4 linked regions of the Schizosaccharomyces pombe genome follow. The gene in region 1 interacts genetically with each later gene. Each region holds a gene or a part of one and is shown in the gene's direction. Other genes may lie near its edges. The genes, in order: rad2, rad9, res2 and rad13.

Region 1 (7,373 bases):
GTTGAGCAACATTTCGAAAGGAAGAAAATATGTTACATGTTTTACAAGGTCTCCCGTTTTCGTCGTAAATAATTCCTGTCTCCTTATCGCGATATCTTTTTCCAAAAACCATTTTAACTTGATTGAGAAATAAGGAACGGACAATACCAAATTTTTACCTACAAATGATTCTGTCAGTAGCATTCGACAGCCAAATATGTATGATGCTCAATTTACAAGTTAAATTCATCTACTTTTAACCAAATAATTATATAACGTAGTACTTCAGCGCCGTTGATTACTAACAAAGGCATTTGAAAACACCACTGTTAAATATGGAACTGTTGCGAATTTCGCTGTTTTTCTTGTCCAAAGGCTTATGGCTTAAAATCGTATTTATTAAAACTTGTAATAAGCTAATTTGAGTTGTCTAGATGTAAACATTTATCACGTAAAACTAGTCCTTTAATAAATTGAAGATTTGAACTATAAAGCGTACTGTGTGAAATTAGGAAAGTATTATAAGTTTATCGCATAAAAGTTTGAAAACCATACCTAATTTTAGGAGCCAACCCTGAATTTATTTTTTTTTTTATTCTTATTTTTTTTTTTGTAAGACTAAACATAATACATTCAAACCTAGTGCATCAATAATCGAGAATAAAACTCGAATAACATTTTGAACCCTTTTTGCAATGAACAAGATTCATTCTTTGTAATCAAATGTAAATTCGAAAAGTAATGTAATATTAAGGAATGTTTCCTTAACTCGATTTGGGATCAACAAATAGAGGTTCAACTTTGATTATATCACTGTGCATACTATAACATGTATTTTTTTAAGTTTGTTTTTTCAAAAGGTTACAGATCGATTTACTAAGCTACAAAATTCAAAAAACTTAAAAAATTCAATACTTGCAAAGCAAAGAAGCAGAAAAAAAGATCCAAAAAAAAAGGATTACATTTATTTTGTTGAATTTATTATTTTTTTTAAAAAATAAATAACTTAACTAATGAATCACTATTTAGCAATTCTCTTTAGATTTGAATCCATAAAAATCATAACAATAAGCGAAGCAATATAACTGGTATTTGCTTATAAAATGAGCGATTCATGCAAGCAGAAAGTTCTTTAAAAACAAAAGAAAACATTAAAATAGATTTAGCACTTCACTTTGGCGTTATAATATCTCCATGTTTTTTTACATGATCACGATACACTCGATATGGTAAAACCAGTGTATACTTTGGCATAACAAAATCATCTCCAACAAACGATTCATCCTCAACATATGTTTTAAGAAATTGTAACACTTCGGTTTGATCAGCTTTAGTGAGGTCGATGTATATATACAACAAATATGAAAATTGGAAAATGGTATTAGCAGTTGCTTTATAAACCACAAACGATTGGTAATATTGTCTACCTTTGTTATAATAGTCTATAACATCAGGAATAACACTGTTTTTTTCCTTTTCATTAGAGACATCTTCTCCTTCGTAATCGGCAGGTGCCAATGTTAAGTATGGCGAGCTTTGTTCAGACATTGTTCTTGCTTTCACAGGTAAATTGAGGTTGCACTGGGATATGAGTATACTGTAAGCAAGGCGCGCAGCATCTCATATAATATTCTTTCAACGAGCCGACATTAACTAGAATTTGCCAACGTAAGATCAGAATGACGTTTTGATCCGCACGAAATACGTCGGTAAAGGAACCTTATTAGTAGAATATTGCAATATTGTTCGTTGTCTGCATACTACACAAGCGATACCATAAACTGGTTACGATTATATTTTCGACGATTCAGTAGCAGATATGGCGAGTTTCAAATAATACTCTCTTGGTAAAATGCCTATTATCCAACATTGTTCCATGAATCAAGGCTATTGTTCTATTAAAAATATTACGTTGAGCAATTCAAGCGGCTTTCTCACTACGGTATCTCAGTACCGTAAAACCACTGGTTTATTCTCATAAAAACAACCTTATGTTACACAGACTTACATCTAGCCAAGTCAATAGGGTTTCGGTAAAGTTCCAATGTACTTTTCATCCTATTCCTTATCCGGAAAAAGGAATCGATCATTTTTCCAGAATTTCTGATGGTACATTACCTTTTCGAGATCTTTTCGTGGTAGTAAACTGCGAGGTGATTTACATTTTACAGCCGTGCTGCCACCAAAACCACAAGAACCTCAATTTGGTAATCTTAAAATTTCTAATTTGTTCCTTCTAGAAATCCTTTTTTAAAAGCTATAATACATGGGAATTTTCAGTATAAATTGGCTGGTCCCTTTCCTTGTATTTACATTCTTTGGTCGATCATTCTTTATGGAAAAGTAACATGTGATTTACTGAATCGACTCTTTGACGTGGATACTACTGCTGGTAGCTAAGAACCTTTGTGTGAGTGAGCAAAGTAAAAACTGCTCGATTTTGAGGAGTATAATACATCTAGCAAAAATTGAAAATTTAATAAGAAGCTCTAAGCTAGTTTTGGAGAAAGCGTTGTTCGGGATCTCGTAATATACATAAATAAGTATATTTGCTAAACGATGGGAATTAAAGGTATGTTACATTTAACGCTAAAGAGTTTATCTTTTACTCTCTCCTTTACTTAAAACTAATCTGGGTTAGGTTTGGCTCAAGTACTAAGCGAGCATGCCCCAGCCAGTGTCAAACATAATGATATTAAAAATTATTTTGGACGGAAAGTGGCTATAGATGCGTAAGTTGAAAGACTAAATAGAAAGCGAAAGTCTCAGTTGACTTGGCAAAGACTGTATGGCTTCTGATTTTGTTTGTAAATATGGGTTAAACACTATGGTGTACAGTTTTTATTGCTAAAGAGCAAAGCTCTATGTCTTAACTCGAGACAAAGATATGATACAAACGAAATATAGAATAAAGGATGAATAAATTTTCACTAACAGTGACTCGGTTAAATTCATTGCTCAAGGTATTTTACATCATTTCTTTACTTTGTTGGTTCTTGAAGTTGCAAACACTAATAGGTCAAACTCTATTCAACTGATTCTTTCCTTTTCGAAGGGTTGATTTATAAAGTCTTCTTGAGGTACTTTATTAATGCTAATTTCGTATATTACAGGTCAATGAGTCTTTATCAATTTTTAATTCAAGTTCGCAGTCAAGATGGTCAACAGCTAATGAATGAACAAGGCGAGACTACTAGTCATTTAATGGGAATGTTTTATCGTACACTCCGAATTGTCGATAATGGAATAAAGCCTTGCTTTGTCTTTGATGGAAAACCACCAACATTGAAGTCAGGGGAATTAGCTAAACGTGTGGCCCGACATCAAAAAGCACGAGAGGATCAAGAGGAGACAAAAGAGGTTGGTACAGCTGAAATGGTGGATCGGTTTGCCAAACGTACGGTCAAAGTTACTCGGCAACATAATGACGAAGCAAAACGTTTACTAGAGTTAATGGGAATTCCCTTCGTTAACGCACCCTGTGAAGCAGAAGCTCAATGTGCCGCTTTAGCCCGTTCAGGAAAAGTTTATGCTGCTGCTTCTGAGGACATGGACACATTGTGCTTCCAAGCTCCTGTACTTTTGAGACACCTGACATTTAGTGAGCAAAGAAAGGAACCAATTAGTGAGTATAACATAGAAAAAGCATTGAATGGTTTAGATATGTCGGTGGAGCAGTTTGTAGACTTGTGTATTCTTTTGGGTTGTGACTATTGTGAACCTATTCGGGGAGTTGGCCCCGCTAGAGCCGTCGAGTTAATTAGGCAATACGGGACTCTCGATCGCTTTGTCAAAGAGGCGGATCGATCAAAATATCCTATTCCGGAAGATTGGCCTTATGAAGATGCCAGAAGACTGTTTTTGGATGCAGAAGTACTTCCTGGTGAAGAGATTGAGTTGAAATGGAAAAGTCCCGATGCAGATGGCATTATACAATTTCTGGTTAAGGAAAAAGGTTTCAATGAAGATCGTGTTAAATTGGGGATCAATAGACTAGAAAAAGCCTCAAAGACAATTCCACAGGGTCGTCTTGATTCCTTTTTTAAACCAGTCCCTTCTTCTCCCAAAAAACCTGTAGATACAAAGAGCAAAGGATCAGCAAAAAGGAAAAGAGATTCAAATAAGGGTGGTGAAAGCAAGAAAAAGCGTTGAAAACGAAGTCATGTAATTGTTATTAATCTAAAAAAAAAACTTAAAAAAAGCAAGACGCATGTAGATAAAACTATACTACGCTATAATAATAGTAAATCTGTTTAATGCATGACTTTTACGTAAAAATAATTAGTCTAAGGAGGTAATTCTGATCATATAAGCTAATAATGGTATACAAAACTCGTTTCTAAGTAATAATATGCCAAAAAACAATCTGGCTGATACAACTCAAAAAACGAAAAGCAGTGGATTCGGACGATGGATCAAAGATCTTTAAAATAGTTCAATTTCTTGTGAGCCAGATTCTTGCATTGAAGAAGCGTTCTTCAAACTAAGAAATATGTTCCTAATTGAAATTAGCAAAGGCGAAAAAACTAGGAGCAAAAATGCTTTATGTCTCTTGGAAACAACATACCAAAAAATAGCAACCGTACAAGCAAATGGCATTTGGTATTGTAAGGGCATTAGCCAAAAGTTCACAGTTTGAAAGAAGGGCCAGACCATATAATTAGCCTTTAAATGTTAGCAACAATACAACAGAACCATTTAAGAAAGAAAATTTAGAAATTAAGTGTACCTTTAAAGTGGGCCAGAAAACAGCTTGAAGTTTATCGTAGGCGCCCCTGAAACCTTTGCCCTCAGCAAGAGTCTGCGGTTTAGTGTTAGTATTGATATACATAAACATGCAAGTTAATTTTTACTTACCATCCAACTGAAAAAAAAGGCAGTACCGAATGGAGCAAAAACAGCTTGATCCAATAACACACGCTTCACGACATTAATAGCGCCTTTCTCTATTGGGAACTTAGCAGATAGCAAACGCAACCACCGAAATTGAAATGGAGAAATAGCAAAACCAAAAGTAACAAATTGAAGAACCCTTTTAATACTAGGTATTTCAGGATGAGTGTTTAATCTCACGCCATCCAAACCAATCATCGCATTTTTGTTTGTTTGGTATATGGTCAAGCCTTGGGCGACAGCATCGGATATTCCACCCAGTGTACCAGCAGTTAGACACATAGTCATAATCGGCGCCTTTTCAAAAAGAGCGTTATAGCGGGTTGCAAAACGACTAAACATAATGGATAATGAGGGACAAAAAACTCAATCAAAAGCAATTCAAAATCTAACGACCCAATGCTAGTATAAATAATAAATTTTATTTTCAAATTTCCTTTTTAGGATCAAAACTTCTAGTTTCTTTTAGTTTATATCACAAATTGATGTAAACTATGGAATTGCGAGAAGTGTTGGTAGAAAGCAGATTCGTAAACGTAATAGTGAAGTATATAAATGTTCGGTCAACGCTTTATGTTTTCCCTGGTTTAGATTTTAATAGTTGCGAAAAATCAATTTTTTTTATTTATAAAATTGTCAAGGTTCAGTGTTGCTCTACACTCACACTGTAGCACTTATGAAATTGTAACAGAATCATCCACACCTTCTGCAGTCATCTATTTATACTAATATTATCTCACTGTGAGATCTATAGCATCACTGTACATCTACAATTGAAAATTCGTTTATTGAAGAAGCGGGCCCGTGGGTGAAATTGTAGTCAAACTAGTTCTCTGCTTCAAGAATTTTTTGTAGCAAAAAAACAGCATTATACAACAAAAATTGACGTCCGTTGTCTCTTGAAGCAGGAAACAAGCTCCCAAATGAACAAAGAAGACGAAACAAGACAATCATAGCAGATCAATAGTCTTAGCGCCCAAAACATTTCCCACGCCCGAATTTGAAATTTTTAGGATTCTTATTGGAATTAAACAGTAATAAACGAACTTACTTAAACTGCATCGTTGTGAATAAGTCTATATTTTTTACTAGAAGACACTACATGCCTAAACTAAAAGTACAAAACAACGTGTGGAAGCTACCATAAACGAAAATTCAGACAAGCTAATCGTATAAGCAAGACTAATGTTTATATAATTTATTAATGAAGATTTATAAATATGCTAATACTTTTCTATTAAAGGTTAGCATACGTTTCAAATAAAAAAGTTCTGTGCAATAGCAATGTTCAGATAAATAAAAACTTCGCGTACTCGTCAATGTAAATACTCCGAGTGAGCTGGGTTTAACGAAGAAAATCATCATGGTAAAAGGCTTGCTTTTATTTGCAACTTAGGATTCGACATACCATCAATATTAACCTATTTATATTCAGACAATGAATGACTAAATCTTATGGTGTTGGTGGAGTTTACGAGGGCGCCGCCTATTTATACTAGTAAATGGGATATTAGGTTGTTAAAAGATATAACGAATAAAAAATTCAAATTACTAATCCAATCAGTAAATGTGACTGTTAAATTCGTAAACAAAAAAAGCAAGGCCATGGAAAATAAGTGACTGGTGGTCATTATTAGTTCATGGTCTTTTTAGTTGCTTTAGATAATTAATATGGGCAAAGATGCCATCATAAACAACAGCCACAAAAGGAGATAGTATTTCTCTAGTTTACCTTCCTACTCAAAAGCTTATCCACACTCATAAATACTAATGCAATAAGTATCAATATATGTGATACGATGAGTAATATGTAAATATAGCATTGCTAATTAAAAACTAAGACAATAAATGAAAAATATTTTATATTAATATGCCCTGACCCAAAATAGTTTTTTCTAAAAACGAACGTAATCGAGTATTCCTTCATAAGTTATATTAATCAAATTTAATTTTTTGGCCAGCTGGCTCAACAATAGCAGCGGAGGATCGCTGAGCCTTCGCTAATGCTGCACCGGGACGGACAGAACGCGGGTCAATCTTCCTAGCTCTCTTGAAGTTTGGTTTGTCCTCTTGACCTAAAGATTCAGCATCATTAAATCGACCAGAGCGAGCCATTGGGGACTTGTTCCTCATCCTTTTAGACCGATCTTCTCCGTATTCTAACCGCCAACTATTATGGCCAAGTTCCATAGCTTTCATACATGTGTCAATGTCTGGAAAATCAACAAATCCAAAGCCTTTACATTTGCCCGTATCCTCAAAGGTCATCAAGCGAACACGTCGAATTTGGCCAACTTGACCAAAGTGCTCCTTTAAGTCGGCATCAGTGGTTTCAAAATCCAAGTTGCCAACGAAAAGGATCGAGGAAGGCTCCTTCTTAGATGATTGTATAGATGCAGTTTTGGAAAGAGTGTTTGCTGGCTTGCTTGGTCTCCCAGAAAAATCTGTATTCGACTTGATCAAGATGTTTCTACCATTGAGAGCCTTTTCGGAACATTGAA
Region 2 (7,547 bases), 3.7 Mb from region 1:
TATCTAATTTATACAACCGAAAACATGGTTTTGACTGTGAAGCCGGCAAAACTAACAAATGCATTTTACTGACTAAAATATCTTTCATATCTTTTGTTTTTAAAAACCGCATATTGGCAAAAAATTTCTAAATCGATAGGTAGATCCTTCGAAAATCCCAATTGATCGACTAGTAAGCGAGGCCGAATAATATGGCGATGAATGCACAATTCATTCAATGTTTATGAATGAGCACTTTGAAAATGGATATTCCATGAAAGATAGATAATAGAAAATCGGTATTAAATGTATTTGATTTTGTAGTCTTTCATCTATCTGTCTAATAATGGTTTGCAACATCGATGTTTATGATATTACAAATTGTTTTTAGGAACTTTTTTCTTATAGTTGATATAAAACTAATATAATAGGGTCGAAAGCGATTCATTTTAACTCATCGATTAATTCAAATTTTGATGTGTTAGTCTAATCCTGGATTTATTTACATGGGCAAAGATTTTTATCAAGGACAAATAGTATTTCAATGCCCAATTCATTTGGTTCCAGATTTTTTGAAAAACTTTTTTTTAAATGTTTTTATTTTCTTTCACATATACTCTGTTACCGATTCGATTTAAAATATTATTGAGCAAAAGCAGTATGCAAGGGTATTGGAATAATATTGACAAAAGCAAGGTATGAAACTTTAAAAAAAACAAATTAGATTTTATTTTATTTTTTTAAGTATAAGAGTTTACGTCTCGTTCTTTTACAGCAGCACCCCATTTTCGAATCGTATGTGTAACGAAATTTTTGAATTTAATTGTAAACATTACTTAAAATCAACACTGTTTTAAGATATTTTTTTGCTTTTTAAAAATAAGCAACAAGTTAAATAGAGACCGCTTTTATTGGAAACAGCAAGCATACACTTACCAAAACTCAACTCCTATTCTTATAACAGTTTTAGAGAGACATAATACTCGTTAGCATAATACACAGTCAAACAATAAAATAATAAATTGGTAATTGTTTAGTTACATTGTCTAGACAGAAAGAAGCAAGATGTGGGGAATTTCCGAGTTTTTACCTTGAGCTTTAACGAACAATTTTTAGCCCTTTAAAAATCGATACTTTAGTCGGTTGCATTCTCTACGTCGTTTTACTAATATAATCAACTCTCGTGCTGTGTTCGTTTTTTCAACTTTTGGTTGCTTCATAAAAACCATATTATTTATTTCAAACAAAGTAATATAACCTCGTCTGTACTAGCTGAATCCGATAAATGCCTTCAAACTTCATTCTTATATTTATTTCATACAATGATAATTTTGCTAACCCACACCCCTTCACTTACCCAGTCCCAGACACATCAAAATTTGCTCAAAATGGGTAAAGGTAAGTTCAATAAGATATTTTTAGGTTCTAATAAATCTTTAGTTTCTTTAAAAGATGAATTGGCAGGGATGCTAAACCCTCAACCGCAGGGTATGTTATTAACGAAAAATTCCGGGATTCTTACTCACATAAATAGAAAGAGACCCTGAAGCTTTAGAGGACGCATTCTCTGATAGAGAGGACTCTAGCGAAGAAGAAAACGATACCTTAGGGAGAGAACATTATGTTGATGTTAGGTATGTTCAAAATTTTTACTTTTGCGTATTTGAGCTTATACTAATGTTTCATATTTTATAGTGAAAGTAAATTACGCTCAAAACAGGCTCCTCAGTTAGACCCAAAATTTAAAGGAAGAAAAACGTCTCGCCAGGAATTACTTAATAGCGGTTCTTTAAACTCTCAATCTTCATCACCATCTGAAGAAGAAGATTCGGAGGAAGACGAAAATGATGCAGTTTCAGAAGATCACGAAAATTTTTCAAGCTCAGAAGCTTCATCAATTTCTGAGGAAAATGAAGATGACGACCAATCTTCTGCCATTCCTGAAAAAGACATGGATCGTTTAAAAAAGATTATAAATGGAGAGAAAAAGCTATCTGATCAAATTCGTACATCCGCCCTTGAAGACATGAAAAAGGGTTTAGCTTTGAAGGAGCAGATGCGTTTTTACGATAATGTTTTAGATACTAGAATCCGTCTTCAAAAAGGATGTAGTCAACTTCTTTCTTCCAGCAACCAACTTCAAGGTGATAAAGTAGAAGCCCGAGATGGTTTAGTATCTTTTATTCAACACACTTTACAGCTGAGGAAAAACTTACTTATTGACTCTGGAGTGGAAATTCTTGACAGTAGATCAAAAAGAAAAGAGAATCCTGTTAGTCTAGAAGAAATTGCTTTAGAAATGAATAACCTTGACGACTCTTTGAATGAGTGGAAAAATGATACTTTAACCAAATGGCATAATCGGGTTCAAGCAGTGCAAGGGATTTCGCAATCTAACAAATTCAAGGCTCTAAATCAAAGTATTGTTCAACAAATCGAAAATTCTATGATTAACAAGAAAGATTTGGTCGAGCGCACTAGAATTGATTACAGTGACCCTAACAACAAAACTTTCAATCCCGAAATTTACAACGACACGGATTTTTATCAATCATTATTGAAGGATTTCATTAATTCTAGAATGGCAGACTCTACTCGAGATGGCACTGTTCGTTGGATGGCTACAAAAAAGCAAAAACAGAAGAAAGAAAACGTTGATACTAAGGCATCCAAAGGTCGAAAAATAAGGTATCACGTTCATGATAAATTACAAAATTTTATGGCTCCCATTGAAGTGACTGTATGGCCGGATGAACAAACTGAAGATTTGTTTAGTAGTCTGTTGGGTCAACAATTAGATTTATCAGAGACAGCTAATGATACAAATACTTCAAACTTCGTGGAGAAGGATGATGAACTGATCTCTTCCAACGACGGATTTTCTCTCTTCGGTTGAAAATAAGCTTGTGCGTGTTGGATAAGCTTCACTATTTGTCTTTTTTTTAATATACGCAAGCTGTGCTAAACATTTAGGGTGCATGATTATTTTTACTTACAGTATATCTTTTTTCGGTTTTAAAAAGGGCATTCGCGGATTTTGGTTCTATTATAATATATTTCGTTTACAATTATTTAGGTTAATAAAAAAATTTAACATATATATGGTTACATAGATGGTCACAATGTCGGGCAATTACAAGTAATAAAGGGTTATCTTGGGCTGAAGGTTTTAGTTTTTGTGCACTTTAGTATTTTAAGCATAAAAGTATGTACGTTTATATGATGTACAGTTGAACTCTTTCTGCTGCAAATTAAAAGCAGCTATAAGTTTCTTCTTATTACAATTCATTGTGTATATACAGATTATTTTGCGATTGATGTTGGCCATTACACTTTCGTACAAATTTCGGCGCGCGTGTCTATACTAATATAAGTGCGTTAAAGCAGGTGCTAGAAAACACCACATTATAGATTTACCTCTGTATATACCAGTTTCAATTCTGTTTGTCAAAAATTGTCGAGATTTATTTACTTCTATTAGCATGAATTAAGAAATTAATCGTCATATCGACTAGAAACTATCGTTATTCGTTCAGCATTCGTCTACATCAATTCACGTACTGGTATATAAAATGGAATTCACTGTTTCAAATGTTAATCTTCGGGACCTCGCAAGGATCTTTACAAATCTTTCTAGAATCGATGATGCTGTCAACTGGGAAATTAACAAAAATCAGGTGTGTTGGAACTTTTTTCAAACCTTACTAAACATTGAAACTAATTGGTAAAGATAGAGATTACATGTTTAAATTCTTCTAGGTCAGGATTTAGCATGGTGACTTTAAAAAAGGCATTTTTTGACAAGTACATTTTTCAGCCGGATTCCGTCCTGTTGACGGGATTGATGACTCCTACAATACGTATTCGTACGCAAGTCAAGCCCATACTATCTGTGTTTAGAAACAAAATCTTTGATTTCATCCCGACTGTCGTCACTACCAATAGCAAGAACGGTTATGGCAGTGAATCTGCAAGCAGAAAAGATGTGATTGTCGAGAATGTTCAAATCTCAATCTCTACTGGTAGCGAGTGTAGGATTATATTTAAATTCTTATGCAAGCACGGTACGTAGTTTGTCCGTCTTATTATTTTATTTGCTCTACTAACGTTTATTCATCAAGGAGTGATTAAAACATATAAAATATCATATGAACAAACCCAAACTTTACACGCTGTTTTTGATAAATCTCTTAGTCACAATAATTTTCAAATAAACTCAAAAATTCTAAAAGATTTGACTGAACATTTTGGTCAGAGAACGGAAGAGCTTACAATTCAACCACTTCAAGAACGTGTTTTACTTACAAGTTTCACAGAAGAGGTCGTACATAATAGAGATATTTTGAAGCAACCTACCCAAACAACTGTTTCCATTGATGGTAAAGAATTTGAACGCGTCGCACTTAATGAGGGAGTCTCTGTTACCCTTTCTCTACGTGAATTTCGTGCTGCCGTCATTTTAGCAGAGGCATTGGGAAGCTCGATTTGTGCATATTACGGTGTCCCAGGAAAACCGATACTTTTAACTTTTGCAAAAGGGAAAAATTCCGAAATTGAAGCGCAGTTCATTCTTGCAACTGTAGTTGGATCAGATGAACAAGAGGTGTCATCTATGATGGGAAATAGATGGCAGCACAGTTCAACACCAGCTTCTCTGTTCAATTCAGTAGAGCGCAACAACTCATTGACTGCTGTAGCACATAATCCCCCTGGATCTATTGGATGGCAAACTGATGTATGTAATTCGGCTTTAGTACTAAGTACAATAATTTATTAACATTAACTTTATAGCAAAGTGACTCATCCAGAATGTTTAATTCTGCGCTTGACCGAAGCGACGAAACTAATGGCATTAAGGAGCCATCAACCACAAACGATGCTGGTCAATCATTGTTCTTAGATGGTATTCCTAATGAATCCGAGCTTGCTGCTTTTAATAATGATGTGAACGATGATGCCGAATTTGGACCAACGCAAGCTGAACAAAGTTATCATGGCATTTTCTCTCAGGAAGACTAGGAAAATCCTTCTTTGCTATGGTGTGTAAAATTATGAACATTTACAGGTGCTTGTGACAACCTCATAAAACACAGCACTCATATTATATAATGTACAATATTTATCAATAATTTAGTTTTTTTTAACTACAAAATTACCCTCATCATACGATACGTTACATAGTAGTTCTAATAAATCAATAAGATAGTGAATAATGTAACCCAATTAATTAAATTCCAATCCACGGCCTATAAAAAGTCTAATATACATTTTTGCATTTTCATCTGAATGCAAAATTTAAGTCATTACACGAACTCAAAGAAAGTTTTAAACTTGTTTCTTAATCAATTCGTTAATTTCTTCTCCACAATAGCCAGCCTTTCGACCCTCATTAAAATGTTTGACCTTTTTCTCCATCAAACTGTGTTTAACTGGAGTCAAAGTGAATGGCCATAAGAATTTAGTAACTTCCTTAAAATGAGAGCCTACATTGTAAATTTCATGAATGATATCTTCAATGGAAATAACATCATATTTGCCCAAGGCCTCCTCAATTAATGCATTATCAGAGAGAGCAATACGCTGACCATTGATCTTACCAAAGCCACGTTTATAAATGAGTTCACGAACAGAATGTAAATTGGGAATACCATACATAACATAAGGTTCGACGATTCGAAGCATTTGAGCAACGGCTTTATTATTTCGCACAAAAACGGCATTGTTAATTCGAGAAAGGCGTAATAAGCGCAGAACTTTGCGAATTTTAGGAGGCATATTCTTGACTCCGGCAATTCGAATAACGAAAAGAAGTTTTGTTTCATCAGGCACGAAAATGTCTCCTTTATTTTTCGCAGATCGATTTAACCTAATCCGTTCTCTTTCTCGTTGGCGGTAGTTATTAATAAAAGTCTCAGCCCTTTTGAAGGTTTCTTTACGATTTTTCTTCTGGGCCTGGAGTAAAATTAGTAAAATGTTTTTAACAATATATAAAAATTGATGAAGTCAAAGGTTTAAATTTAACCAATACAAAATATATGAATCAGCCGAAAGATGGTATTTTGGAGCAGCATCGTCGAAACTAGCAATCCAAGAGTGAAAGGTTCATCTTTTTCATATAAATATGTATATTATGGATATTTCAAACCTGTAGAACAAGCAATTCACATACCTCTTTTTTGGCAATAGCCTGCTCAACACGTTCTTTCCGAGTACGCTCATTGACCTTGCGCTTTTTTAAAAGCACCTCAGGTTCAAGCATAGTCTGTTGTACAACCGGTGCATCCTCCGCCATTTTATCGTCTGTTAGTAACGAGTAGAGGGCACGTTGGGACTATAGACAGACGAAAAATTATAGCTATGAAATGTGACTGCTTTAAGACACATAATGTTCTTCGTTACAATCCGCTAATAAGCGCAAAAAAATTTTGAAGCGATTTTCAAATAGGCTTTGAAATGTGTACTTAAAGGTAAAAAATGGTGTTTAAAAACTATGGCAAATTTAATTTGACAATATAACAAAAATTGCACAATAGTAGATTGCTCCTTCCATATCGAAGCATCTCTTTCTAATAACCAAGACCAAACTTTATCTAATTGACCTTGTACCATTGAAATTCATGTTTAAAAGATATACAAACGATTTTAATAGGAATATTATCAATGTTGAATGTAATCACCTGGTGCTCAAACTCCTCAGGGACGTGGGATATGGAGATGATAAATTTTGCACAACATTAATCGAAACAGTGCGAAAACACATGAGAAGTTGAATAATTGTATTATTAGCCCTTAACTTCTTAGGGTAGCCGTTTAAATGTCATTCATCCTAAACTGAAAAAAAAAATGTGACATTGATGAAATATAGTTTTCCACACGCAATTTATGTAAAATAATCATATACATTTATAAAAATCAGAAAGCAATTATTAAAAGGAAACAATTGATAAACACAAATTTACATATACTGTAAGAAAATGCATGAAAGCCCTTGCAATTCAAAATGAAATTACAAGGTTATTCTATCAATACGACTGTACGACTTACAAACTCAAGAGACTACAATATTTACCACGCTCTTAAACAGCCACCAATGTTATATGCAAATAGGAATTTTAGTGAAACTACTTAAAATTTTTTAAGTGAACTAGCTTCCACTTCTGCTACTGGATACAATACTGTTTGCGAATGTACATAAAAAGCTTAAGTTACCCAAATTCAAACAAAATATTTATACTCCAGTTCTGCCTGATCCATTAACTACAGACATTTTACTTCTTCTTAGCCTCGGCCTCTTCAGCACGCTTCTTTTGGAAAGCAGCGCGAGCACCGGCATAACGAGCATAAGCACGCTCGTTGCTAAGGGTAGAGAAAGCGTTGAAGTTCTTGGCTTCTTCAGTAATGGGCTTGGCCTCCTCAACAGCTTCTTGAGTGATGGGAAGAACAGCGGCAACATCAGTTTGCTCAGCACCAGAGACATCAGTAGCATCTCCCTTCTTGGGTTGACCAGCCTTACGGGGGAAAACAATCAAGTGAGCAAGGTAAACTTTGATGCGCTCAACGTTACGTTG
Region 3 (8,111 bases), 4.7 Mb from region 1:
GACGATGTTATCAACACACATGTTCGTTTCCCGACCTTGACTGCTAATATTCGTCAAAGGCGCGGGAGAAAAGTGGCCATGAATGTTCCGATTTTCTTCGATAAAAATACAATTAAACCATTTCACGATCCTACCGTTCCTTGGGATAGAAATTTGTTTCCTGAAGATGCAAATGCACGAGATGGTGCAGCGTTAGACAATCATATTTACATGGACAGTATGGGTTTCGGTATGGGATGCTGTTGTCTACAAATTACATTCCAAGCTAAAAGTTGTGATGAAGCTAGACTTTTATACGATCAGTTGACTCCTATTACCCCCTTGATGCTGGCATTATCTGCCGGAACTCCAGCATTTCGAGGCTATTTGGCTGATCAAGATTGTAGATGGAATGTGATTGCTGGTGCTGTCGATGATCGAACCGAGGAAGAAATGAAAACTGTGCCAAAATCAAGGTATGATTCTGTTGACTTATATATCTCGAATGACAAGCGCAATTTACCGGAATATAATGACGTCCCGGTCGTTATAAATCAAGATTGCTACGATAAGCTAATAAAAGATTGCATTGATGAAAGATTGGCTAAGCACATGGCTCACATATTCTCTCGTGATCCTTTGGTTATTTTCAGTGACAGCATTTTACAAGACAACAGTGTATCCAATGCTCATTTTGAGAACCTAAACTCAACTAACTGGCAATCTATGCGCTTTAAACCTCCTCCACCAGGTAGTGATATTGGTTGGCGTGTAGAATTTAGATCAATGGAAATTCAAATAACTGATTTTGAAAATGCGGCATATTCAATTTTTGTTGTGATGCTTTCTCGTGCAATTCTATCCTTCAATTTGAATCTGTACATGCCGATATCGCTAGTGGATGAAAACATGAAAGCTGCTCATGCTCGTGATGCCATTCATCGTAAAAAGTTTTGGTTCCGTTGCAATCCATTTCCTGACGCAAGTACTGATGATGAATCTGGTCAGTTCCGTCAACTTACAATTGACGAGTTATTTAATGGTGAGCACCGTGAAAACGGATTCCCAGGTTTAATTACCATTGTTCGAAGCTATTTATACTCTTGTAATCCTGATGCCAAAACTATTTGCCTAATTGAACGTTATATTCGCCTAATTTCTCAAAGAGCAAATGGCCAATGCTTGACTGCTGCTTCGTGGATACGCAATTTCATTACAACTCATCCTTCTTATAAGCAAGACAGCGTGGTCAACGACGAAATTAATTATGATTTAATTAGAAGAATAGCAAAAATTGTAGATGGCGACTACGACGATACGTTACTTGGAAAATGCTCATAATGCAGATGAATTCTGAGTGGAATATATATAAGATTTTTTTCTACTTAATAACATATCTAAAATTTTGGTAATTTAAATTCCTTTGCAATTCAGTATTACAAGTGTAGTTCTTTGGCAACTGAGACTTCCCATTGATTCCTTTCATTAAGTGAATACTCATTATTTAATTAGTGCTAATATATATTCAGTAACTACATAGTTGATTTTCTGTATTGCCCCACCCTTCCCTATTGTTATGTGTATACGCAGGTAGGGTGAGCGAACGCAATGCATGCACCCTTTTAAGAGTCCGCGCTACGCATTTTAACTGCCTTTTGCTGTAATGGCTCCACGTTCTTCCGCAGTACATGTTGCCGTTTATTCTGGGGTTGAAGTCTATGAATGCTTTATTAAAGGTGTCTCTGTGATGCGCAGACGCCGCGATTCCTGGTTGAATGCTACACAAATCTTGAAAGTGGCTGACTTTGACAAACCACAAAGGACAAGGGTTTTAGAAAGACAAGTACAGATTGGTGCGCATGAAAAAGTACAAGGTGGATATGGAAAATATCAGGGTAAGTTGTCTACTGTTACGCGTTGTGACATGATTTGCTATCTTTGAACAACGCGAACAATTGAGTGTTTACTAAGCCAAATCGAGGTATTTTAATACCTTTTTGTATTAAATATCTCTATGGACGCGTCCTCTAAATGATTGACGGTATTAACCAAACTATAGGAACTTGGGTTCCATTTCAGCGTGGGGTCGACCTGGCCACAAAGTATAAGGTTGACGGAATAATGAGCCCAATATTGAGTCTTGACATTGATGAGGGAAAAGCAATTGCTCCAAAGAAGAAGCAGACCAAGCAGAAAAAGCCTTCTGTACGTGGCCGTAGAGGCCGTAAACCGTCGTCACTTTCTAGTAGCACTTTGCATTCCGTCAATGAAAAACAACCGAATTCTTCTATATCACCAACAATTGAGTCATCTATGAATAAAGTGAATTTGCCTGGTGCAGAGGAGCAAGTTTCTGCAACACCTCTGCCAGCGTCTCCTAATGCACTGCTATCACCAAATGATAACACTATAAAACCTGTTGAAGAGTTAGGCATGTTGGAGGCACCGCTTGACAAATATGAAGAGTCACTACTTGACTTCTTTCTTCACCCAGAAGAGGGACGCATTCCTTCCTTCCTGTATTCGCCGCCCCCGGATTTTCAAGTTAACAGTGTTATTGATGATGATGGCCACACTTCTCTTCATTGGGCATGCTCAATGGGACATATAGAGATGATTAAGTTATTACTGAGAGCCAATGCTGACATTGGCGTGTGTAACAGACTGAGTCAAACACCATTGATGAGGAGTGTTATCTTTACCAATAATTATGACTGCCAAACTTTTGGACAAGTGCTTGAGCTTCTCCAGTCTACTATTTATGCTGTTGACACCAATGGTCAGTCAATTTTTCATCATATTGTGCAATCAACCTCAACTCCTTCAAAAGTTGCAGCGGCCAAATACTATTTGGATTGCATATTAGAGAAACTAATATCGATTCAACCATTTGAAAATGTTGTGAGATTGGTAAATCTACAAGATTCAAATGGAGATACCTCTCTATTAATTGCTGCTCGAAATGGAGCCATGGATTGTGTAAACTCTTTATTAAGTTATAACGCCAATCCTTCTATTCCTAACCGACAAAGACGTACAGCTTCCGAGTATCTTTTGGAAGCTGACAAAAAGCCACATTCATTGTTACAGTCAAACTCAAATGCTTCGCATAGTGCTTTTTCATTTTCCGGAATAAGCCCTGCTATTATCTCGCCATCATGCTCATCGCATGCTTTTGTTAAGGCAATTCCTTCAATATCTTCGAAATTTTCTCAATTAGCAGAGGAGTATGAATCTCAGCTTCGAGAAAAAGAAGAAGATTTGATTAGAGCGAATCGTCTCAAGCAAGACACGCTTAATGAAATTTCCAGAACTTATCAGGAATTGACCTTTCTGCAGAAAAATAACCCCACTTATAGTCAATCTATGGAAAACTTGATTCGAGAGGCCCAAGAAACTTACCAGCAGCTTTCGAAGAGGTTACTAATATGGTTGGAAGCACGACAAATCTTTGATTTAGAGAGAAGCCTCAAGCCACATACTTCATTATCTATTAGTTTTCCTTCCGACTTTTTAAAAAAGGAAGACGGACTTTCGTTAAATAACGATTTTAAAAAGCCGGCTTGCAACAACGTGACCAATTCTGATGAATATGAGCAATTAATTAATAAGTTAACTTCTCTCCAAGCTTCCCGCAAAAAAGATACTTTGTATATTAGAAAATTGTATGAAGAACTAGGAATTGATGATACAGTTAATAGTTACCGTCGTCTTATTGCAATGAGTTGTGGCATCAACCCTGAAGATTTGAGTTTGGAAATACTCGATGCTGTGGAAGAAGCATTAACCCGAGAAAAATGAATCTTGGAAACTTTCATTTACATCTTGTCTTAATGTTACGTTCTTTATTTAATGATACGAGTTATGATAGTTAATGATTTTATCCATGACACTCACTGTCAAACTGCATTTATCAACGTTATCATACTTTGATAGAAAAACACGAGTTATTTTATATATTATTTTCGAATGGAATCAAGTGGAAAAAACATATATTGCTCCTTCCTAACAAAACTATTATGTTACTTATTTATGCGCAGCTAAAACAATCTACTATTGTAAAATGATTTATCTCATTTACAGCGCGTGCTTCCATTCATGATTCATCCTTTTTGCATTCGCACGTTAATGATCATCTAAAGGATACCAAGTTACTGAGCTTCACTTTAATTTGAGGGTCCTGTTCAAATAGGTAAAAGAGTGATTAATACAAATAATCAATTATTTAATTGAAAGAAAATCTATAGCAGTATTTCTCGTAAATACGATATAAAAATATGTAACCTATAAACGCAGAAATCGCGTTTTTTTGAATACATTTATTATGTTTACTTAGCATACATAAATTTAATAACGCTGTTGGAATACACAATTTGAATTAACGTACTGGTTTAACTAGAGGACGTTAGTGCAGCCTTTCCCCAGCAGCTACCATACTTACTTTAGTCGTGTATATGTATAATTGAAAATTTCAACAATCTTTTATTTTTGTTCCTTCGTTGAAATATCTACTAAAATATTTTAACTTTGATAATTAAGTATTGCATAAGGAAATGGATGCGTTGAAACTTTTGACAACTAATGTCAAATTTAAGAATAAAGTACCTCAACCTTCTATAAAAGAAAAAGAAGCAAAAAAATTACAAGGTATTACTAAGGGAAAAGCTAAAGTTACTGGTAATAATCCTGTTGATCCAATTGAAGAGTTTCCGGAAGGAATACTTTGTGAAAACTTAAAAAAACAAAACATAACAGAATGTACCACAATTCAAAGATATGCCATTCCAACGATAGGTTCTAAACGAGACCTATTGGCATGTGCACCAACTGGTTCTGGAAAAACTATTGCATATCTATTCCCAATTTTGCAAAAACTTCAGTTACATGTTCCGGGTGGATATAGAGCGATTATCGTAGCGCCGACTAGAGAACTGTGCGAGCAAATATATAGACAGGCAGAAAAGCTGTCTTTTGGAACTTCATTGAAGATAATTGAATTAAGTAAATCTAATGAAAAAATTCAAGAAAAAGCGCCCAAGCTCCGGGAAAAGTATGACATGTGCATAGGCACCCCGATGAGATTAGTACAAGCAATACAAACCGGATTGTCCTTTGAAAAAGTAGAATTCTTTGTTATGGATGAAGCTGATAGACTTTTTGAGCCTGGCTTTATTGAACAAACTGATCATATTCTAAGTGCATGCACCAGCTCTAATATTTGTAAAAGCCTTTTTTCCGCTACTATTCCATCACGCGTCGAAGAGTTAGCTAAAGTCGTAACGGTTGATCCGATTCGAATCATCGTTGGTTTGAAAGATGCAGCCACGGATAGCATCGATCAGAGACTCTTGTTTGTTGGTTCGGATACTTCCAAAATTGTGATTTTGCGTCAAATGATTTCAAATGGAGAGTTAAAGCCTCGAGTCGTAATATTTGTTCAAGATATAGAAAGAGCGAAAGCATTGTACACAGAACTCTTATTTGATGAAATTCACGTTGGTGTCATTCATGGAGAATTACCACAAGCCAAGCGCGAAGAAGCACTTGCGAAATTTCGGAAGGGTGAAATTTGGGTTTTAATAGCAACAGATCTTCTTGCTCGTGGTATCGATTTTCATGGTGTAAAGATGGTCATCAACTTTGACTTTCCTCAAAGTGTTCATAGTTATATTCATCGTATCGGTCGAACTGGGCGTGCAGGAAATACAGGACAGGCCGTTACTTTTTTTACAAAGGAAGATGGTGAATATATCAAGCTTATTGCTGGTGTAATGCGTTCATCAGGTTGCGAGGTTCCAAACTGGGTTATGGCACTTCCTAAACCTAGTAAAGAAATGAAAAAGAAGTTGAAGAAGAGTCCTCCTAAAAGAAAGAGGATTACTACTAGAGCTTCTTACGACAGACAAAAGGAACAGCGTAAGAAGGAGTATATTAAGAAGGTAAAAAAAGAAGCCTCTATCAAAAAGCATAATGAAGCTACTGGAGACAGTGGACAATAGATTGTTGCTACTGAAAGTATTTATATAAAGGGTTTTGGGTTTTAGTTTAGTTTTTGTGTTCATTTAAAAAAGTCATATTCACTCCAAAATACTATTGCTTTGATATAATAGAGCCTTATATTTTTTAGCAATCATATTATTTTCTTTTACTTTTATTTGTGGTAAGAAACTTTTATGTTACTGTGGTACCTGACATATCTAACTTTACATCTTTTGTTTAACAATAATGCAGCAAGTGCTGTACGGCTTTTTAAAACTGATAAAAATCTACACGAGTACAATTAATGTAGGCGTAAACAGGTACAAGGAGATTATTTTATTTTAAGTACCCAACAGGGTTTTTGCAATTGTTATTTTAACTACAATTTGAAAGCTATATTACGTTGCTGACACTGTTTTATAATTTCTCGTTTTCGAAATCACGAGTGTGTTTCAGTAAATATTATATTGTTTTAACTTACTTTATATTGTGTATCATTGAAATTACCTATGAACGGAGAAAAATTGGTGTTACTTAATTGGTATATGGGAGTAGAAACTTCATCACAACCTTAACTTACCGAATCCCATCTCTTTCCAATTCAGGCTATTTCGAAGTATAATGTTTTCCACAAGTCGAATTATCTCTCGTATTAATTACAATTTTTTAAGGAAGAGTCACTACTCTACTAAAACAGTTGCTGAACAAGCCAAGGGTCGTTTCACTCCCTTAATCCAAAAATTATCGGGTATTTTAAACATAACGGTTAATTTGTTTAACTAACTTTTTCAATTTAGCTGTACAACAACCTATTATGTACTGGGCAAATGTTTCGAAAGAGCTGGTTCAACAAGTATATCATTCTCAAAAAATTGCACCCCCTTCCAATACTCATGTAAGCAACTATTTGCTACAAAGAACAGATCCACTAATTTCTCTTTTAGTCTCCCTTCCTTTTTTGGAAAAGTCAATCCTCTGAAGCATGGGGCCGCAATTTTTTCATCGCAGTTGAAATAGTTGGTATTTTCTGCGCTGGCCAGATGGTTGGTCGTAGAAAAATTACTCCATATCATTAAAAAGATGAATTTAATCTTTCATAAAAGCTTCTGATTGCTGGATACTTATGCATTTCAACTACTGCGAATTCATTTTGTCTCCAACATACACCAGGCTGTTCAATAAATGAGACTATTAATAACTATCTTTTGTTAACATATTAAGATGAGGTCTTTATAAAGCATTTCTGTTAATAGGGAAACTAAATTATAGGTCTTAGGTAGCAGGACCTAATTGTAGGCGTAAGTGTTATTACCCGGCACTGTATTGCTTGTTTTTCAATTTTGATTTTGAATAACCATTAATTTAATTGTAAAATCTACCGAAAGCAAATGTCTCATTTTCGCAATCAATCTTAAAATCAGTTTGTACTAATAAATAAATATTGCTAAATTGATGGAGTTACCTCACTGTCAATGAGCGATTTCGCATATTTTAGTTTCCACATCTCCAAACAAAATGGGATAATCCTACTACCAAATACTTTCTGCGCTACACCACCTTTAGGGGAATTTTTGGGTCTGACCTGAAAACATAATCCAAGAAAAAGAATTCAATGTTTAATCAACGCTTAGTACACACATCAAGGATAGCTATTCGTAATGTACAATACTTACGCTATAATAGTACATGTAAGCAAACTTAGGAATAGTCATTTATTTGCTAACGCTTCAGCAATCCCAAATCTTCAAGCAGTTATTCGTAAAAAATTGCTGGATTCCATGAAATCTAGGCAAAAAGATGTTGCGTCTACTTTAAAAGTACGTTGGAAATAAAACGTGACGGTCTACATGTTAAATTGCATCAGTGTTCAAGCAATGTGAAGAGGCTGTCAGAACTATGTTATCTATGTTTGTAGATGAATATGACGCTAACAAGCTTAGGTATTTCTCTCGGAAATCGAATATGCAAACAAGTCGAGTAAGCCAGTTACTACAGACTTAGACGTTCTGCGAGTACTTAAAAAAAACATAAAAAAGCGTAAACAAGCTATTGAACAGTTTCGCAAGGCTGAGCGTCTTGATCTAGCGGAAAAAGAAGAATCTCAGATTCAAACTTTACGACAATTCCTACCTGAACATGCTAGTAATATTTAA
Region 4 (9,270 bases), on another chromosome or scaffold:
GATTTACGTAATAAAGGTTAGTGATTGTTGGAAATTGGTTCATAGTCGACTACGAAGGCTTTTGATTTGGGTATGCACCTCACATTTTTCAGCAAGTATGTAATATAGTCAATGTGTTTGTACAAGTGTCATTATTCTGGTTAAAGGAAGGAAATCTCATATATAATTCTTTCAGCCTTTTACTTATAAATTTCATATACAAAGAAAAATTTTCTGCTTTTATTTTAATTCATGTTGGGTATATCAAAATTTATTTTAAGGGCCCTCCAGGTGAATTGGGGAGTCTGGCTGTTAAAACTTCACAACCAGTCTCTGTAACTAACAGTGTATGTTCGAATTGAGCAGAACAGCGTCCAGATGCAGTTGAACTAGTCCAATCATCCGGCCAGGTAATGTCTCGGGCGGGACCTAGAGTAAGCATAGGTTCGATTGTAAAAGTCATTCCTGGGCGAGCAATTCCAGGTGCCTTGTTGTGGGAATAATGAGGAATACTAGGAGAACAGTGAAATAACTGGTTGATTCCATGTCCACAATATGTGCGGACGACAGAAATCTGCTTCTCAGTAATGCTATTTGTATGCTTTTCAATAATATTTCCGAATTCCTGAAACAATACTCCCGGTTTTACCGCAGCAATTGCTTTATCCAAAGCAATTCTCGTATTTTCTACAAGGCAAACGAGGTCAGGATTTGCTTTTGCTTTATCTCCAACATAGTAAGTCTCATTTAGGTCACCATGAAAACCGTTATGGTAAAGGGAAACATCAATGTTTACAATATCACCATCCTCAAGTGGCCTTTGATCTGGAATTCCGTGACAGATGATTTCGTTCACAGAAGTACAAACACTTTTTGGGAACGCGTAATAGTTAAGGGTGCTTGGAAAACAATCACGTTCAATGCATGCATTATGAACAATACTATCAAGTTCATCGGTAGTTGTTCCAGGACGGACGGCAGCAGCGGCAGCATCAAGTACCTCTCTACCAAGTCTACATACTTTACGCATACCTTCCTGCTCCTTGGGTGTCAATCTCTTCAGTTTGAAGCTTCGACCTTCAATTTGCTCGCTACGAGAGACTCCTGTCTTCGCATAGTCAGGTCTTTTTATATGTGGAGGAACCTTGCGTATAGGCGAAAGCGGATAAACTGGTTTCAATGAACCTGCGAAATGAAATTTTGGGAAAGGATTGTAAGTTCCATCCTCTGATGAACAAATTAGAAAAACGCTTGAAAATAAAAGCTATATACTTTTGTTGTACGTACCTCTCTTTTCTACATTCGGTGGACGATGAAGATGTTTGTGAATATTCTGGATTACCTAGTGTTAATTTACGTTACACGAAATTTTCTTGTATTACCCAGCTGTTCCTGAAGCATTCCTTTTTTTTTTTGAATTAGTAAATACGTAAACTAACAGAAAAACTAAATTACCTGTCCACAAAAGTAAGATTTAACTCCGTCATTTAGACATTTGGGACATTGCAGTCTGTCAGCTTCATTATTACAATCTATACCGCAACAAATATGTTTTGCAATTTCAGTAGCCATATAAATACTTTGTCTTAAGGGTATCACTCGCCTTAGTTTCTAGACTCGAGAATTTCTAGTCACACTAGTGCTTCGTAGCCGTGAAGTACATTAATGTCGTTGGAACCTATATAACCCAATGCCACTCTTTAAAGTTATGATTTTTGCAAAACTAAAAAAATAACTTTAATATATGCTTTTCAGTTTTTAAATAAATAATTCATTTTTCTAATTTTAATATGAATTTAAATCATTAACTTATGAAAAAATATGGAAGTTTCACAATACATTCTATGATTAGCATACTGAATGGCTCCTAGAATGTATAATTTTATCTTGTTCTCTTTCGTGTATACTGCGTATGCTGGTATTTGGATCTCGCTTTTTTCTTTGCAGTAGTTCAGGTCCAACGGTATAAACCGCTGAGGAAGCGCTAACGCGAAAATCGTTGGCCTTCGAAATATCTTGCTCGTCACGTGAAAAAGGTGGTCTTGAAGCCTCAATAGGGTTGTTTGAAGATGAACGGGTTGTTGGCAGATTTTCTGGAAGCCTCGATACGGCCATATACACTGTTAAAACGATTAGAACCGTGAGTTGAAGCATTAAAAGTCGCTTTTGAAAAGATGATTCTTGATATAGTGAAGTAATTTGACTCTGAAAGTATTCATTTTCTGCAGAAAGAAGCTCAAGTTTAGCTTGGAGAGCAAACAAAGACGGCTTAACGACACTTTTCGACAATTTCGAAATTTCTAATTGAAGGGTCGAGTTCAATTCATGTAATAGCTGCGTAAAATTCATGTTTTTGGCATTGTGCTTACCATAATTTGTTAATATTTTTTCTACAATTTCATCAAATGCCTTCTTCCGTTCTTCTAAGGTAGAAAGACGCTTATTTATGTTTTTGTAAATGCTTTCCTGATTAGAAGGAAAGGTAGATATTTGAGCGGTACTGTAAGAAGATGAAGAAGATGGAGAAATATCGTTAAAAGAGCGAGTTGATGTTGCAGGATATGATTCACTTTTTCCTGTTTCATTTCCTATAACAACAGTGCTCAAAGACTTAGATATCACAGTAGAAGAAAGTAAGGTGTCTGTACTATTCAACTCGACTGATGGATTCTTTCTCACTGGTTTGCTTTGAACATCGGTATCTTCTTCGTCCACAAAAATAGGACTTTCTTGAGGCTTCCGGATTTCATCTGCTTTAATAGCGCTTCCGTCGTTCACTTTTTGTTCTAAGAAGTCTTCATTTGCTTCTTCAAATTCTTCTATCATAGTTTTTCCATAAACCCTAAGTAGGCTTACAGGACAATAAAATTCTGACCCATAATGAGTTAAAAACTCTATTTTAAGATACTTCGCCCAAATAAGAGGGTTCTCAATATGAAAAGATTGAAGAGTCCTTAGGTTTAAGGCCGTAAATGTACCCAATTCCATCCAAGAAGACTCGTATTTTGGATATTTACCGCTTACACTGACCTTGAAATCACGAAATATACTTGAAAAAAATTCGAAGTTGGCAATTTGAACTGTATCGACATAAATATCCTCACAAAGTTCAATTACCACGAACTTGTTTTCAGCGGAACATTTGTTCAGCATATATTTGTCTTTGTTTTCGGTCAGAATCGAAGAAGATCCGACTGCTTCAGGATTTGTTTTAATGACAGCAGCAGCGCAGTCAGTTGAAGCAAAGTTGAATCTTTTTTCTTCTGAGAATGCAACAGTCTTTTCATCTATATTTGAATCAATTGTAGCTGCTGCTGAAGTAGAGGAACCATCCTCAGAAATTGGTAGAGTAACCGAAGAACTAGTAATAATATTAGTATCAATAACTTCCGTTACAGAATAGTTTTGCTCTAGCTTCTTTGAGGATGAAATTGTAGACGTCTCGTTCACCAATGGTGGGCTAATTGAATCTATAAATTCGCTAGTACTTGTTCCATTGGAATATTCATATTTTGACAAAAAATTAGAAGAAATGGTATCACTTCCATTCAAACTCGTTTTTGTGTGAAACGAAGGTTCCTGGTACTTATTTGTGGGAGTGAAATCCCATGTTGTAGGGTTGCTAGCTTCTTTTTCTTCAGATTTGGTAGCAATCACAGAAAGGTACGCATCACATACCAAATTTTCGTTATGCGTATCTGGTGACTTCAAACACAATGCCGGATATTTACACCAATGACTCGTTTGTGGAGAGCAGCAGCATAACCGAAATATAATAAAATAAATTAAAAAGGCATTTCCAAATGCAGACAATCTTCTTTTGACCATATGATTTAGGCAGCCCTATCAGTTTAATGTGGTAATTGGCTCAAGTCAAGTGCCACACACTAAAGTGTTAGCATCAATCATCGCACATGCCCTTGTTTTATCGCTTTGTTGGTAAAACATGTCTTTTATAACGATTTTAATTAAAAAAGAAGAAAAAGGGTAAAGAAAAAGGCTTGCTTTAATCACATTTCTTCGTATAATAATCAAAAATAAAGTCGTCTACAACGAAACTTCTTGACATCGCATATAATATTTTGCAATGGGGGTTTCAGGTCTTTGGGATATTTTAGAACCGGTAAAAAGGCCTGTCAAGCTAGAAACACTTGTTAACAAACGGTTGGCAATTGACGCTTCAATTTGGATTTATCAATTCTTAAAGGCCGTACGTGACAAAGAAGGAAACCAGCTGAAAAGCAGTCATGTTGTAGGATTTTTTAGAAGGATATGCAAACTATTATTTTTTGGGATTAAACCTGTATTTGTTTTTGATGGAGGAGCGCCGTCATTGAAACGCCAAACTATCCAAAAAAGACAAGCCAGAAGACTCGACAGGGAGGAAAATGCCACGGTCACGGCCAATAAACTTCTGGCTTTGCAAATGAGGCATCAGGCAATGCTTTTAGAGGAAAATAATAAAAAAGCTACTGCATTGGCAAATGCCTCGGTTCAAAATGAGAGACAAATGCCTTCATCTATGACATTGGATAATTCAGAAATTAAGCCAGTACTTAATCAAAGAAAAAATTATTTGAAGCCTGATCCATACCAACTACCTGAAATGGACGTTTCGTTTGATAAGTTAGGGTCGAGTTACGACCCTCGAATTATGTCCCAGGATGAGCTTACACAATATGTCTCTAGTTTTACTAAAATTGAAGATATAAATTTATTTGATTTTTCAAATATTGATTTTGACTCTGAATTATTTCAATCATTACCCGATACGGATAAATATAGTATTTTAAGTGCAGCAAGATTACGCTCTCGTTTACGAATGGGTTTAAGCTCTGAACAACTTTCCGAGATGTTTCCTAATAGAATGGATTTCTCTCGTTTTCAAATTGAGAGACTGAAGGAACGTAACGATTTAACTCAGAGATTAATGGACTTTACTGGAATGAATGAGTTTGGACCCTCTAGAGTAGTAAGTGAAAAAAACCGAGAATATATTTTAGTAAAAAACGAAGGTGCTGAAGGTGGATGGGCTCTCGGTGTTATCTCAGGATCTACAAACAATGAACCTATTATTATTGATGATGAGGCTACAAAACTTAGCAGCAATCTTATAGACGAAGACGAGGATGAGGCATTCTACGATGTGCCTTTACCTAGCCGATCTCATAGCATGAACCCTAGAGAATTGGTAGCCGCTAAATTAAAGGAAATAAAAGAAAATTCATTTTCGGAAAATCAGCAATCAGATGAAGCAGATTATAATGTTACTGATGATTTAATACTTCAATTAGCAACCCAGCAATCTCTAGAGGAAAACAAAAAATCAAAAGAGCTGTTTAGTCTTTCGGCTTCTGAGTTTGATAAGTTGAATAGCGAGAAAAAGACGTTTGAAATTTTGTCGACCGATATTCCTGCAGAGGATTCAATGAATTCACTTCTTAACGACGAGGAAAATTTGAAACTTGAACATGTTGGAGATGTTTCCAATGATTCATTAGCATTCGCGGAAAAAAAGCATCCTGAAAATGGGACTTCAATTTTTATGGATGCCCTTCCATCTGCGAGTAGAGAGAAAAAAACCAATGATTTAATTGATCCTTTACCTTTTCAGCCTATGGATTGGGGAAAGTCTATTTTTTTCGAGAAATTAAAGAAACCAACTGAAACATTTATGGATTCTAAAACTGATATACCAAGTGAGGCACCGGATAATTCTAAACTTGTGGAAGATACAAATTTACATACTATTAATGCAACAGTTAATATTGAATCCGATTTAGACGCTGCTAAACCTGGAATTGAAAATCCAATTATTTCACCTCTTCTTCCGGTAAAAGATGATGAAAAAGATTTAGACTTACGTGAACTCAATCCTTTGGAACCCTTTGAGAATATGAAAGAACAAGCTGATGATGGCACAGTTACCAACCCATTAAATGTTTCTAGTGATAAGGCCATGTCAGTGTATTTATTGAGCTCCGAAAATGCTAAGGATACTGGGGATATCAAATCCGAATCAATTGACGCTGTTCTTCCTACTTTAGAGACCAGCAGCCCTTCACTTAGCATTCCAACTGACTTTCAAAAAGAAGCCTCTCCAAATAAAGGAGCTGCTGCCTTGAGTTCGAAAGTAGAGCCTGAAGTGGTTGAAAAACTTTTAGATGAGGAAGAAGAGGAAATGATTATCAGGATGGCAGAAGAAGAAAAGGAATATGATCGGTTTGTTTCAGAACTCAATCAACGACATGAAACTGAAGAGTGGAATCAAGAGGCCTTTGAAAAAAGGTTGAAAGAGCTCAAAAATCAAAAAAGGTCTGAAAAACGTGATGCGGATGAGGTCACTCAAGTAATGATTAAAGAATGTCAAGAACTTCTGCGTTTATTTGGCTTACCATATATCGTTGCTCCTCAAGAAGCAGAAGCCCAGTGTTCTAAACTTTTGGAGCTAAAGCTGGTTGATGGGATTGTTACTGATGACTCAGACGTGTTTCTTTTTGGTGGAACTCGGGTATATCGAAATATGTTTAATCAGAACAAATTTGTCGAACTCTATTTAATGGATGATATGAAAAGAGAATTTAATGTGAATCAAATGGATTTAATTAAGTTGGCACATCTTTTGGGAAGTGATTATACTATGGGACTTTCTAGGGTAGGTCCAGTTCTTGCACTGGAGATTTTACATGAATTTCCTGGTGACACTGGACTTTTTGAATTTAAAAAATGGTTTCAACGTTTATCAACTGGACACGCATCAAAAAATGATGTTAATACGCCAGTAAAAAAGAGAATTAACAAGTTGGTTGGAAAAATTATTTTACCATCAGAATTTCCTAATCCGTTAGTTGATGAAGCTTATCTTCATCCGGCCGTGGATGATAGCAAGCAATCGTTTCAATGGGGCATACCCGACCTTGACGAGTTACGCCAGTTTTTGATGGCTACTGTGGGTTGGTCAAAACAACGAACTAATGAAGTTTTACTTCCGGTTATACAAGACATGCATAAAAAGCAATTCGTGGGTACACAGTCCAATTTGACTCAGTTTTTTGAAGGTGGTAATACTAATGTATATGCGCCGAGAGTTGCATACCATTTTAAGAGTAAACGGCTTGAAAATGCTCTTTCATCTTTTAAAAATCAGATTAGCAATCAAAGCCCAATGAGTGAAGAAATTCAGGCAGACGCAGATGCATTTGGTGAATCTAAAGGATCAGATGAACTACAAAGCCGTATTCTTAGAAGGAAGAAAATGATGGCAAGCAAAAATTCCTCTGATTCAGATTCAGACTCTGAAGATAACTTTTTAGCAAGTTTAACTCCGAAGACGAATTCTTCTTCAATTTCTATTGAGAATCTACCTAGAAAAACCAAGCTTAGTACTAGCTTACTAAAAAAACCCAGCAAAAGAAGAAGAAAATAAGTTTAATAAATTATTTATTTATTTGTTTACTTAACTGGTTGTTCCTATAAAAGAAGTTACTGTAATTTTTTGTTGAGTAAATTTTTTTGAGTTTTCCTGCTGTAACTGTGTTTAGACAAAGTAATTGAGCAACATAGCTTATATTTTGTGATTTATTCGTGTTTTGATTATTTACAATTTTTCTTGCTCTTTGTTACCTTACCTAATGTCACTTTCTACTACAACCTACTTAGCAGCAGTAAAGTAAAAACGGAGAAACAGAATATTTTTCGAAATGTTAAGTACAAAAATTGATGCGGAAAATGCGGAAAATGCCGCCGAGGTAAGCCTTGGTTATTATTTATTTAATAATACTTACAGATTTTAGATTGAAATGCAGGTACGTGGTTGTAGAAAGTATTTAGTTTTGGTAAAGCATGTACTGATTTAAAAAATTTTAGTTTGCAGTAAAAGCTGTTGAACAGGCTCGTAAGTTGAGCAAAATATGATGGAATAAAAAATAACAATTTAGAAATATACTGGAGTCTTTTGGAAATGCGCAAGGGAAGCGAGTTAAAGCTGACAAAGTAAGTATATATTTACATCTTTAATTTAAAGTTCAAATTGCTTACTATTGAATAGATACGATGATGAGATTTTTGAAGATTTAATAAACACCTTCCCCGAGTTTAAAGACCCTAAAACAGCTTCTTTTGTTAATGAGGATGAAATGAAGTCCGCCAAAGGAAAAGCTGCCTGGCGTCCATTTTTAATGCGCTATGAAAAGAAGGTTGACGATTACAATTTTGGTACTCTTCTTCGTATTAAGAATACTGATGAGTATGAGCAAGAAACGACTATTTTTGGTATGTACTAGGAATCAAATTTAATGGTCTAAGAAACATGGCCATTTTTTAAGTGCCATTTTTTTAAAAAAAATCGTTTATGCGATCCATGAATTTCCATATTTTAATGTTCTATTTTATTTAGCTAACAAGTCTTAGTCCCTCGTATGCAATTTTTGGCCTACGAAATCGCCCGTAATAGATACGGTTTGAACGATTGGATTAAAAAAGATTAGACCTTGTTAATAAATATTACAACTCATCCAAATTTTTCTGAAGGAAGTATTTGTACAAATGATTGCTCCGTAGTTAGATAACATATACATTGGTTTTTCCTAATGTACAATTACAATTCAGAATAAAATCAAAACAAGTGGATGAAGGTCATATTTCCTTCTCTTATAAACGTATATCAAACAAAATTCATAGTGCTTGAGTAAGAAAATGTTATTTTTTCTAAAGTTACTAATTGAGAATTGTGACAAGTAAACAACAAAACCAAAGAGACCAGATTTCCTATGCTAATCAGAGTGATGTTTACAATTAAATCCGTCCTGATTATTCGACGTTTTTTTTTTTTCTAACAAAGTGACTCACAACTTGTTTAGATTTCTAGATATTGTGTAAGGAAATAATTTTTGCTAAAAGTAAACACTTTAAAGAAATGATACTAATAATATGAAGGACTGCAAACTTTATATTTGAGTATAATAATTCTTATAATTATATGAGAACAAAGTGCATAGATTTACTTCAGTGCAAACACAGATATAAAATTGTGTCGAGCTTTATGTTTCTAACTTCTAATAGCGAATCTTTAACCCATTGAGCATTTCAATTATGTAGCACTATTTCATACGTAAGGGCTGCATACTTATTAACTATTTTTTTTCAGAAATCTCAACTTGAATTTTACTAATTCATGTATTTACAGTTAGCAAGATGCTTCTTTTTTTTCGTAATCATTTGAGATGTAAGACGCCGGTTAAGAATTTGTGGGATAAACAAAAGAAATTACGAGGACCACTTACTTAGTCTATA

The links.
Region 2: mutations in rad2 (region 1) and rad9 together harm fitness more than expected from each alone (negative genetic interaction), as found in Schizosaccharomyces pombe (3 studies listed by BioGRID, with this or other methods).
Region 3: mutations in rad2 (region 1) and res2 together harm fitness more than expected from each alone (negative genetic interaction), as found in Schizosaccharomyces pombe (3 studies listed by BioGRID, with this or other methods).
Region 4: mutations in rad2 (region 1) and rad13 impair growth when combined (synthetic growth defect), as found in Schizosaccharomyces pombe (2 studies listed by BioGRID, with this or other methods).

Annotation. Positions count from the first base shown.
Region 1 is NC_003424.3:5,386,427-5,393,799, reverse strand, and holds rad2 (FEN-1 endonuclease Rad2), read left to right. Parts: upstream 1-2,377; 5' UTR 2,378-2,538; coding exon 2,539-2,551; intron 2,552-2,620; coding exon 2,621-2,711; exon of another isoform or gene 2,712-2,888; intron 2,889-2,896; exon of another isoform or gene 2,897-3,092; coding exon 3,093-4,131; 3' UTR 4,132-4,214; downstream 4,215-7,373. Other genes in the region: erv1 (sulfhydryl oxidase), read right to left, coding at 1-112; SPOM_SPAC3G6.07 (uncharacterized protein), read right to left, coding at 1,150-1,527; SPOM_SPAC3G6.05 (Mpv17/PMP22 family protein 1), read right to left, coding at 4,405-4,477, 4,547-4,644, 4,709-4,780, 4,837-5,214; RNA-binding protein Rnp24, read right to left, coding at 6,808-7,373. UniProt on the Schizosaccharomyces pombe protein: Structure-specific nuclease with 5'-flap endonuclease and 5'-3' exonuclease activities involved in DNA replication and repair.
Region 2 is NC_003424.3:1,711,541-1,719,087, reverse strand, and holds rad9 (checkpoint clamp complex protein Rad9), read left to right. Parts: upstream 1-3,371; 5' UTR 3,372-3,551; coding exon 3,552-3,656; exon of another isoform or gene 3,657-3,709; coding exon 3,710-4,043; exon of another isoform or gene 4,044-4,100; coding exon 4,101-4,714; exon of another isoform or gene 4,715-4,770; coding exon 4,771-4,998; 3' UTR 4,999-5,168; downstream 5,169-7,547. Other genes in the region: bfr2 (traub family ribosome biogenesis protein), read left to right, coding at 1,368-1,377, 1,420-1,467, 1,514-1,613, 1,675-2,875; ribosome biogenesis protein rlp7, read right to left, coding at 5,305-5,931, 6,149-6,271; rpl13 (60S ribosomal protein eL13), read right to left, coding at 7,248-7,547. UniProt on the Schizosaccharomyces pombe protein: Acts in DNA repair and mutagenesis. Involved in promoting resistance to ionizing radiation and UV light, as well as regulating cell cycle progression after irradiation. Repressor of entry into mitosis that is activated by chromosome breaks.
Region 3 is NC_003424.3:684,951-693,061, forward strand, and holds res2 (MBF transcription factor complex subunit Res2), read left to right. Parts: upstream 1-1,584; 5' UTR 1,585-1,642; coding exon 1,643-1,874; exon of another isoform or gene 1,875-2,038; coding exon 2,039-3,780; 3' UTR 3,781-4,229; downstream 4,230-8,111. Other genes in the region: glutamate-cysteine ligase Gcs1, read left to right, coding at 1-1,320; ATP-dependent RNA helicase Rok1, read left to right, coding at 4,533-5,978; atp20 (F0-ATPase subunit G), read left to right, coding at 6,580-6,706, 6,756-6,853, 6,903-7,034; mitochondrial aspartyl/glutamyl-tRNA amidotransferase subunit B-related Aim41, read left to right, coding at 7,617-7,775, 7,899-8,111.
Region 4 is NC_003423.3:2,671,154-2,680,423, reverse strand, and holds rad13 (DNA repair nuclease Rad13), read left to right. Parts: upstream 1-3,854; 5' UTR 3,855-4,066; coding exon 4,067-7,405; 3' UTR 7,406-7,434; downstream 7,435-9,270. Other genes in the region: methionine aminopeptidase Fma1, read right to left, coding at 251-1,206, 1,267-1,312, 1,362-1,382, 1,435-1,551; SPOM_SPBC3E7.09 (Sad1-UNC-like protein), read right to left, coding at 1,828-3,807; SPOM_SPBC3E7.07C (uncharacterized protein), read left to right, coding at 7,680-7,727, 7,773-7,784, 7,846-7,873, 7,917-7,971, 8,027-8,250, 8,389-8,465. UniProt on the Schizosaccharomyces pombe protein: Single-stranded DNA endonuclease involved in excision repair of DNA damaged with UV light, bulky adducts, or cross-linking agents. Essential for the incision step of excision-repair.